2 linked regions of the Tribolium castaneum genome follow. The protein of the gene in region 2 purifies or fractionates together with the protein of the main gene of each other region. This does not show direct contact. Links are inferred from orthologs where the notes say so. Each region holds a gene or a part of one and is shown on either strand. Other genes may lie near its edges. The genes, in order: raptor and mTor.

What was found.
Region 1: the proteins of mTor (region 2) and raptor purify together in Drosophila melanogaster (affinity purification with western blotting; 3 studies listed by BioGRID, with this or other methods). This does not show direct contact. The link is inferred for Tribolium castaneum from reciprocal best matches to the Drosophila melanogaster genes mTor and raptor.

What each region holds. Positions count from the first base shown.
Region 1 is NC_087399.1:3,466,284-3,470,788, forward strand, and holds the start of raptor (regulatory-associated protein of mTOR), read right to left. Parts: upstream 2,863-4,505; 5' UTR 2,706-2,862; coding exon 2,550-2,705; intron 2,501-2,549; coding exon 2,398-2,500; intron 2,353-2,397; coding exon 2,111-2,352; intron 2,060-2,110; coding exon 1,680-2,059; intron 1-1,679. Other genes in the region: EKC/KEOPS complex subunit Tprkb, read right to left, coding at 2,940-3,446; Arpc2 (probable actin-related protein 2/3 complex subunit 2), read right to left, coding at 4,393-4,420.
Region 2 is NC_087399.1:3,310,507-3,314,183, reverse strand, and holds the end of mTor (serine/threonine-protein kinase mTOR), read right to left. Parts: coding exon 3,464-3,677; intron 3,416-3,463; coding exon 2,961-3,415; intron 2,916-2,960; coding exon 2,321-2,915; intron 2,197-2,320; coding exon 859-2,196; 3' UTR 768-858; downstream 1-767. Other genes in the region: cytidine deaminase, read left to right, coding at 1-232. UniProt on the Drosophila melanogaster protein: Promotes cell and tissue growth, maintains tissue homeostatis and controls responses to environmental stress and aging. Regulates growth during animal development by coupling growth factor signaling to nutrient availability. Central regulators of autophagy.

The sequences.
Region 1 (4,505 bases), about 160 kb from region 2:
CCCAGTATTCATAATAAATAGTATAAACCTTGTAATTCAGCTCAAATGAGAAAGTTTAGTAATTAGTATTTATAAAAAAAAATTGAAACAAACTTTATTAAAACTGAAAAAAAAACTGTATAAACATGATTAAACTGAAAAACACTCAAGTACGGTGTTTTTATTTTGCCTGTCTATTATAGGACATACTAGATTTCCTACAATTTTATCCACAAATGTATTTATTCAGATAAATTATAAAAAATTACAAAAAAACATCGACCTTCTTTCCTTAGTAAATAGTAAACTATCACTTCTCTTATTCGTCTTATTGTCAGGAAGGTTAGTGAAAATAAAAATGATGAAACGCAAAAGTAAAACAGTTACACTATGGTCGAAAAATACTATTACTTTTTTTTATTATTTCTATTATTGTTATTATTAAATATTATTATAATATAATCATAAAAGTTGTCAGTCTTACAACGTTTGGAGATTTAAATTAAAAATTAAAAAAAAAGACACCCAAAAATTACTGATTTTTAAACGTAAAAACAAAAAATACAATATAAGAGGGTGAAGATTGAGGAAGCTGACGTATGTACAGCTTGAACGTGAGCTGTTTTAAAGGTTTGAAACTTTTTTTTAACCTTTTAACCACAATAGTAATTATGGATTTAATATTTTTGGAATTTTGGATCGAGGAAAATAAATAAAAAATACCGGATATTTTAGTGCAATTGAATGTTTTGTACTAAGTAATTCAACATAATTACCTGCTCTTTTGTTACAAAAAAGTGGCAAGGATTTCATGCGCTTTTTTCAAAACCAGTTAATACTTCATCAAAATGTGGATATTTAAACAATTTTCGTATTTGAACTCCGACAATACTCCATCTTTATTTTTGTATCGTTTAAATTTGGAAACTTAGAAGATAAAAAAACATCACCTTATTTATTCCATTAATAATATAATCGATTACAAAAATGTCGTGGTAAATAGTAAAATCGTAATGTTCTTAAGAGAAACAGCATTTTCGTAAATTACTTTTAAAATGTCATTATATTTTATTAAAGTGATTATTTTCAAAACTAAAAAATAGTTTCCAAGTGGAGATAATGGAATTTTAGACCCACTTTTATCTGTTTATGTTTCATAATTGGACCTGACCTTTTAATGCGGTTTGGGTCAAGTTCATTCTTTGTCATTACACCAGTTTTTTATAATTCTCGAAGGAGTAAAAACTGCTTTGCCAAGGAAAACAAACAAAAACAGCATTAGTTTTAAAGTGCGTAAAAATAAATTCTTCTAGCTATAATTAGAACGCAACAATAGAAATTATTTCAGGAACGCAAACAAAAATGCTTCACACTTTATTTTATTAATAAATAATAGATTAAGTCCGATGATAGGCAGGTAAATTACGTCTAAAAATAAATATTTAATTACCTAATGCAAGTGCGAGTTAATCTATATTTTTACGATAAGTTAATACCTTACTCTAGCGATATCAATCTGTTGTAAAACATATTTATCGGTGTAATTTTTCGAAGCCACAAATTACTGTTTAAAAATAATATGAACAGTCAATTTCATTTCGGTAAAAGTTCATTAACCGTCAAGTGTTTGCGTTTAGTCTGCGGTCCGCATCATTGCTCAACCTTGGCCCACTTCCAAGTCAAAACAAGTGGTTACTCACTTATCGATCAAATCCAGGGTGACTTTGGGCACTAGTTTTGAGGTAGACTGTAGAACGAACCATCTTAAGGCGACCTTGATTGGCGTAGTAAGGCAAGACGTGAACAAATCGGCCGGTAAATCAGGATTCATCGGTAGCACTTCCTTCGCCCCGCACGCCGCCAACTGTATGCAACTCTTATAGGAGGGCAAAGGCGCCACCACTGGATTTTGCCGCGACTGACTCGTGGCCTGCTCGTACTCGGCCTCGTGTTGGGCGGCAAACCGCTCGAAAGACTCGATTATGATCCCGGCGTTCGAGCAGTCGTAGACGTAGATCGAGGGCGCCCCCATCCACGTTTGCAGGTCGTAGATGGACAGGGGGATGTATTGCGTGTAGGTCTGTGTGAGAACTGGTTAGTAAAGTGCTGGGGCTAGTTGGGGGTTGTTTACTCGATTGAACACCCAGATTTCACCGTTTTCCGTCGGTTTAGGAACTCCATGACCGTTGTAGTGGAACAGAACGCGTTCCTCTTTGGCGTTGCGGCGCAGCGAAGTGCACAGTTTTTTGACTTCTTCCGAAGTGGGGTCCAGGGACTGCTTGTAGCGCGCGCGGGGCTGCCACCGCTCGTACTGCGCCTGCAGGTTCTCCCCGATTTTCTGGATCGACTTTGGGGCGGACAAGGTTAAGGGATCTGGAACACGACCTGAATTCCGCGAACGCATGCCGACCTAATTACCTATCCAGCACTCCAGACGCGCACATGGCTGGGTTTTCATCACGTCGGGCGGGTCCACGCCCACGTTCAGACACAGAACTAGGGCCACACTCACTGTTTTCATCTGGAATTTTGTAATTAAAACAAGCAACTTGTGGGCGGGTTGCAGTTACGCGTTCTTTCATGCGCCATGTCTGCGTTATGCACTCGACGCCCTCGATGGGCTCCAAGTGCCTGTCTTGCATGAAGCTCAGGGGCAGGTCCTTGTCGGAGACAGCCTCCTTGTCACTGTCTTTCTCGTCATTGCCGTTGACACCCAACTCTGTCATAGTTTTCAGCCGCGTTTTCGGGTTTTTTAGGAGTTGTGAAGTGGGATTTATTTAAGTCGTAACGATTACATCAAAAAACGGAATCAACACCTAAAATTTACACACGCATGGCACGACAACAAAACTGCCATCTTACTACCAACTGTTAGGGTTTTTCGTTCACTCGAGCGGGAACACCAAAATCAAACAGCTTTTAGAGCTTTTTTAATAATTTATTATCAATATTAAATACAATCAATGCGAGATAAAATCCTTAGTGGCTATCCTACTGACGACGGAGTCCACAATAGTGCTAGTCGCCCCTTCCTCAGGCCCAATCTTGTAAGCCTTCTTAACAGCGCCCAAATCCCGAATCTCCTCAAGTGCCCCCAACTCCACTTCCGTGCCTTTAATTTCAGAAAGAACGCGACTGTCGTCGTCGCCGACAGTCACCACCAGCAAGTCTCTACAGTCGTCAGTGATCCCAAACTGTTGCAAACTTTTCGTTATGTGTTTGGATACAGACAAATTGAATAAAATTTCAGTGAAAATCGTTTTAGTGGTGCGGTTTTTGGCAGTTAGGGCCTTGTTTGCGGCCACGACTAACTGGAACGGGTCCACAATCAACTTGGGGTTTACGAGACAACACTCAAGTTGACCTGACATTATTTTTTTACGCAAGTCGGACACGTTCTCAACACTGTGGAATAAACGGATGTTGAGGGTTTTATTCACGAGGGGGTCCAATGCCGCTTTAACCATTTTTTAACGGTGAATAATAAAAAATGTGGAATTGTAGGGTTAGGTTTATTGTCAGTCTCAGGCGAGAAATTCGCTACTGTAGAATCTGTAACGCACGAAAATGATTAATAAAATTACAAATAAAATTGTGCGTGTTTGCTGCTCCCACCCAATTATTGATACTCTCAATACAGTCTTTTGAAATTCCTTTAATAATTTAAAATAATAGGAATTTCGCGTTAGTAGCAAGTCATCCAAAATGACTGCTTGAGTTGGCCATCCTGGCTTAATAAAGTTCAATCAAGTGTCGCCACACGTTTTCGAGTTGGTAAAAAAATGATACACAGACTTTAAAATAACATTTTATTTTCTATTATTGAATTAAACAGTGTCTTGCTCTGTTAATGTAATATAAAAATGAAATGAGCATGAAGAATGCGTCCAATTGCCTACAGAAATCCGAAAATATTGCAACCTGCTATAGAAATTGACGATTCATTTATTACCTATTAAACTATGTTAAGTTATACAATTTATTTGGCGGTTCAAGTTCTCAATAGTAAAAAGGATCGTTCCGAATCAAAATGATAACAACAAGCGGATACATAGTAAAAAACCTAAAACACGTCTCGCAAACTGGGTAAAAAATATGTAATTAAACTTTGTATTAGAAATATATAATTCACAATATTGATGTGCTTACCCATATTTCAAAGGAAGCACATGGTTAAAAGATTGAATCTATGTACACAAGTAGCTGAAAAATCAGCACTTCTATTAACTGAACTGTAGCATTCAGTACTGAATGAACCAATTGATTGACTTAATAAATAAACTGCAAGAGAGGCTGTGCAAGAACTGACTGATGGGAAAATTGAATGAAACAGTTAAGTTTAATAAATTGTCGGCAGTTATTAGTCCTTTTTTGAGCTGATCTTACAAGCAAAGTTCACTAGTACTATACACATCAATCCCGTCGAACGAAAGTTCTCCCTCTGTAACAAATCAATCAATTAAATTATGATACGGATGTCTAAAAGTTAGGATACGAAACGACGTACAAATAAAACGCTCCGTTCT
Region 2 (3,677 bases):
GACGGCTCTAGCCAAGGCCATTAGTGAAGGGTTCCAAAGTTTCAAAGCTGTGGCTGTGATAGGCAACCAAGAAAACGTCTACACCACCCCATGTGGCGCCTGCAGGCAGTTCATGAGCGAATACGGCAACATGAAAATTTTTATTTCGAAGTCGGACCTGGAGCACGTTTTTGTGACCGATTTGGGGCAACTCTTGCCCCACCAGTTCCAGTCACCAACAATTAATCAATAAATTTATTAAAATGTACCAAATCTTTTTAAATTTGTCGGCTGTCAAAAATTTGTTTGCTGACAGGTGACTAACAATTGCGTTATTTTGAAAAATTGTTAATCACAAAAAGTGATTACGTTTGATAAAAAAACGGCCAGACTCATTTGAGGTAAGCTTGCAATATACTTTTATTACAATTGCACGTTTTTAACGCTAAAAATGCTAATTTTTTTGTTTTTTCGTGTTTGATCGTCTTTTGTTGCAAAACTACAGTTTTTTGAAGTTTGCTAAAATGTTCCTTAAAACCTGTAATAATAAAATAGTTTGTGCGAAAATTGATCAGTGGTCACGAAATATTATTTTATTTACGGTAAAATTGTGTTTTTTCGAATTATTTGTGGAAAACGTATTTTTGTTGCCAGGTTGGCAATTCAGTTTGTCAATTATGTCATTTGAAAAAGTTTGATAAAATTTTAAGTGATAAAAAGTCGCTCAAATCGCACGTTTGGTAAGTTTGTATTAATCTTAGTTGTTTATTGCGCTCCTAAACACACACTTGTAATAATTACTTTATTTCAACTAGATTATATAAAAAATAATAAGATACACAACAAAAAACTATCACGGTATTAGATGCAGCAGTCGAGTTACCAAAAGGGGCACCAGCCTATGTAACACTGTGACAAGTTCTCGTTACTTGTCGCTTGTTGTATTAACAGATCGACTTGCTTAGGAATAGTCAAAGGTTCCTCCGTAGCGAAATCGTTCCCGGTCAGTTTATCTCTAACTCGATTGATGATAATAACCGCCCTGGCATTAACTTCGTGTTGCGGTTCGTTATCTTCCATTATCATCTCGCGTTTCGGAACATTGAGCGATTCGGATGAGCCCTGTTTTTGGGAACAACTCGTCGACATTGAATCGCTGTTCATCGGCAAGTTCCGCACCTCAATATCCATCAATCGCCAATTAAGCAGGGGGTCATAAACAAAGGCTTCAAGCACCGCCATCAGACTGTCTTTATTTCGGTGTAACATGGACATGACCGACTCACAAGTCCGTCTGTACGTGCCTTCAATCCCTGTCACTTCCATGGCGTTTATTAGCATCCTAGTCAAACGGAAGGGGATCTTTTCCGGGAATTTTTCCCTAGTCATTGCCACTTCGAAGCAATCGCCGAAATCTATATGCAGGATTTTGCCGCTCAGTCTGTCCAACATTAAATTGGAGGGGTGGCGATCCCCCAACCCCAAAATATACCCAACCATTGACATCACAGCTAAAGACCGCGTGTAGTTCGTTCTCCGGTCAAACCAAACCTCAGACGAGGGGCTTTTCAGCCACAACAACCGCGCTAAATCGTCACCATGTGTGTGCTCAAGTGCGTGCTCAAAAACTTCCATTTTCTGCATCACGGTTAAATGATCATAATCCGGCGCCATCCGTAACATAATCCTATGCTCAATATTCAACAAAATCTTCTTCTTGTCTCTATAATCCCGTATTAAAGTGTGCAGCGTATCACAGTGCGGTAACCACCCAATCAGACCCGAATTCGTACTCAGGGGAATCACCGCATACCGCTGTATCGTCAAATTCCGCCTGAACGTATCCGGGTCTTTCATTAGTAAAGTATTAACTAAACCGAACAGTTGCATAACACGCTCGTCTTGTCTCAGATCCTCGTGACCTTTAAGTAAAAACATGTAGTCTTTGCCGTTGCTTCCACGAATTACTAGTTTTCGGGGCCGCTGTTTTGAGGTAATTACTTCGAGAGATCGGTTAAAATTGGCAATGCGTACGATTGGCTGTCCTGGACAGTAGCTACCAGGCACTGCCAACTCTAAGTCTTGACAAACTAGCAAATTTGGCGATACGTATTGTAATTCGAGGGAGGTGAGTTGCGGTAATTGACGCGAAATGCGGCGGAAAACGTGGTAGTAGAGGTCCCACGCCTGGTTCAGGTCTCTAATGTTGCTCGAAAGCTGAAATAACAAATTTTTCTTGGTGAAGTGGCCACAGGTTTTTTTAGCAAAACTTAATTAATTTTTCCTCATTGATAAAGACTATAAAGACAAAAAAAGCAAATATTTAGGTGAAAATACAAACCTTGTATCTTTGGCACCAGTCTTGCGCCTCGTTCAGATCCCTGCCGTACGTCTGATTAAAACTCGTCTCTTTCAACGTCTGGGGCCCCCTTTCCATCATCGCATGCAACGGTTCGAGAATTCGCAACATTCCTTTAACGTTACGTTCGCCGAAATACAATCTTGAGGCTTCTTCTAGTCCCTCGTGCCAGATTTCGTGCCACAAAATTGCCACTCGGATCAATTCTTCTGAGGCCATCATGGCCTGACTTACCAACGTAGGGGAATGTTCACTCATCGATTTTAAAATACTATTAGCTGCATTTCTACGTCTGATTGAATTACTTTTTGTTGCGACGGTTAACGGATAGACTAGGGCTTGTGGATGCGTTTTTCCAATATCAACCAATAGATGATTGATTAATTTCGATACTAACGCCGTTGTGTCAATTCGCGCGATTAATTGCGGAATTACTTGAAGCCACGTGTTTTTCTCGACTAAACGAATGCCTTCGACTATGGCATCGTAAACTTCGGGCCAATCGCCGTAATCGAACCACAGTGTTAATAAACGTAAAGTGTCTTGCAATGAACTTCCTTTAGATAAATTAATCGATCTGAAACGAACAATTAGGGTTAAAAAACGGTTTTAACCGACTCACTTGAAAAATCCCTGAACGGCTAAGACTGTATAGTGCGTCTTGTCCTCCTGTCTCGTGTAATACAAGACCGTTTCGAAATTCATATAGGCCCAAGCGTGCCATGCCTTGTACCATTGAGGGTCGTGTTCAGTCGCTTGTTTGTAACACTTCAAAATGAAAGGTATGGAGGTTTCGTTGATGCCTTCAAGTGCCTCATGCCAGGCCCCCAGTTTGAGGTAACACCTAGCCAGGAGTCTTTTTTTCTCTTCAACTGTCACGTCGTCGTTTGGCTCGTTTTGCGAATAGTCAGCGACGAATTGTGATAGTTTTTGGAACGCTTTTTGTTTTTCCTGTGCCACCCATAAATGTTTGGCGTAGGCTAGTGTGATGTGAGGCTGGTTTTTGGGCAAGGGGGCGTCGGGACGTTCGCTTGGGTCGTAACCGAGTAACATGACTAGGGTTTTTTGCGATAGCATCTATCAAACCGACTGTAGAAAAAATATCAAGTGTGAGTATGAACTTACTAATGAACCGCTCTTGCGACACAATGACGCGTATTTCACCCACGTTCGTTTGTCTTCTTGTGGGGTCAAGACCAAGGAATGGACTTGGATGATTCTTTGCCAATCTTCGACTAGTTTTTGGCCCGATTGGAGCCTTTGCCACCACATGGCTTTTAAAGTGGGCCTCCGTTCTGGCACTAACCGATACTGCATTACTTCTTCCAACTCGGATAAC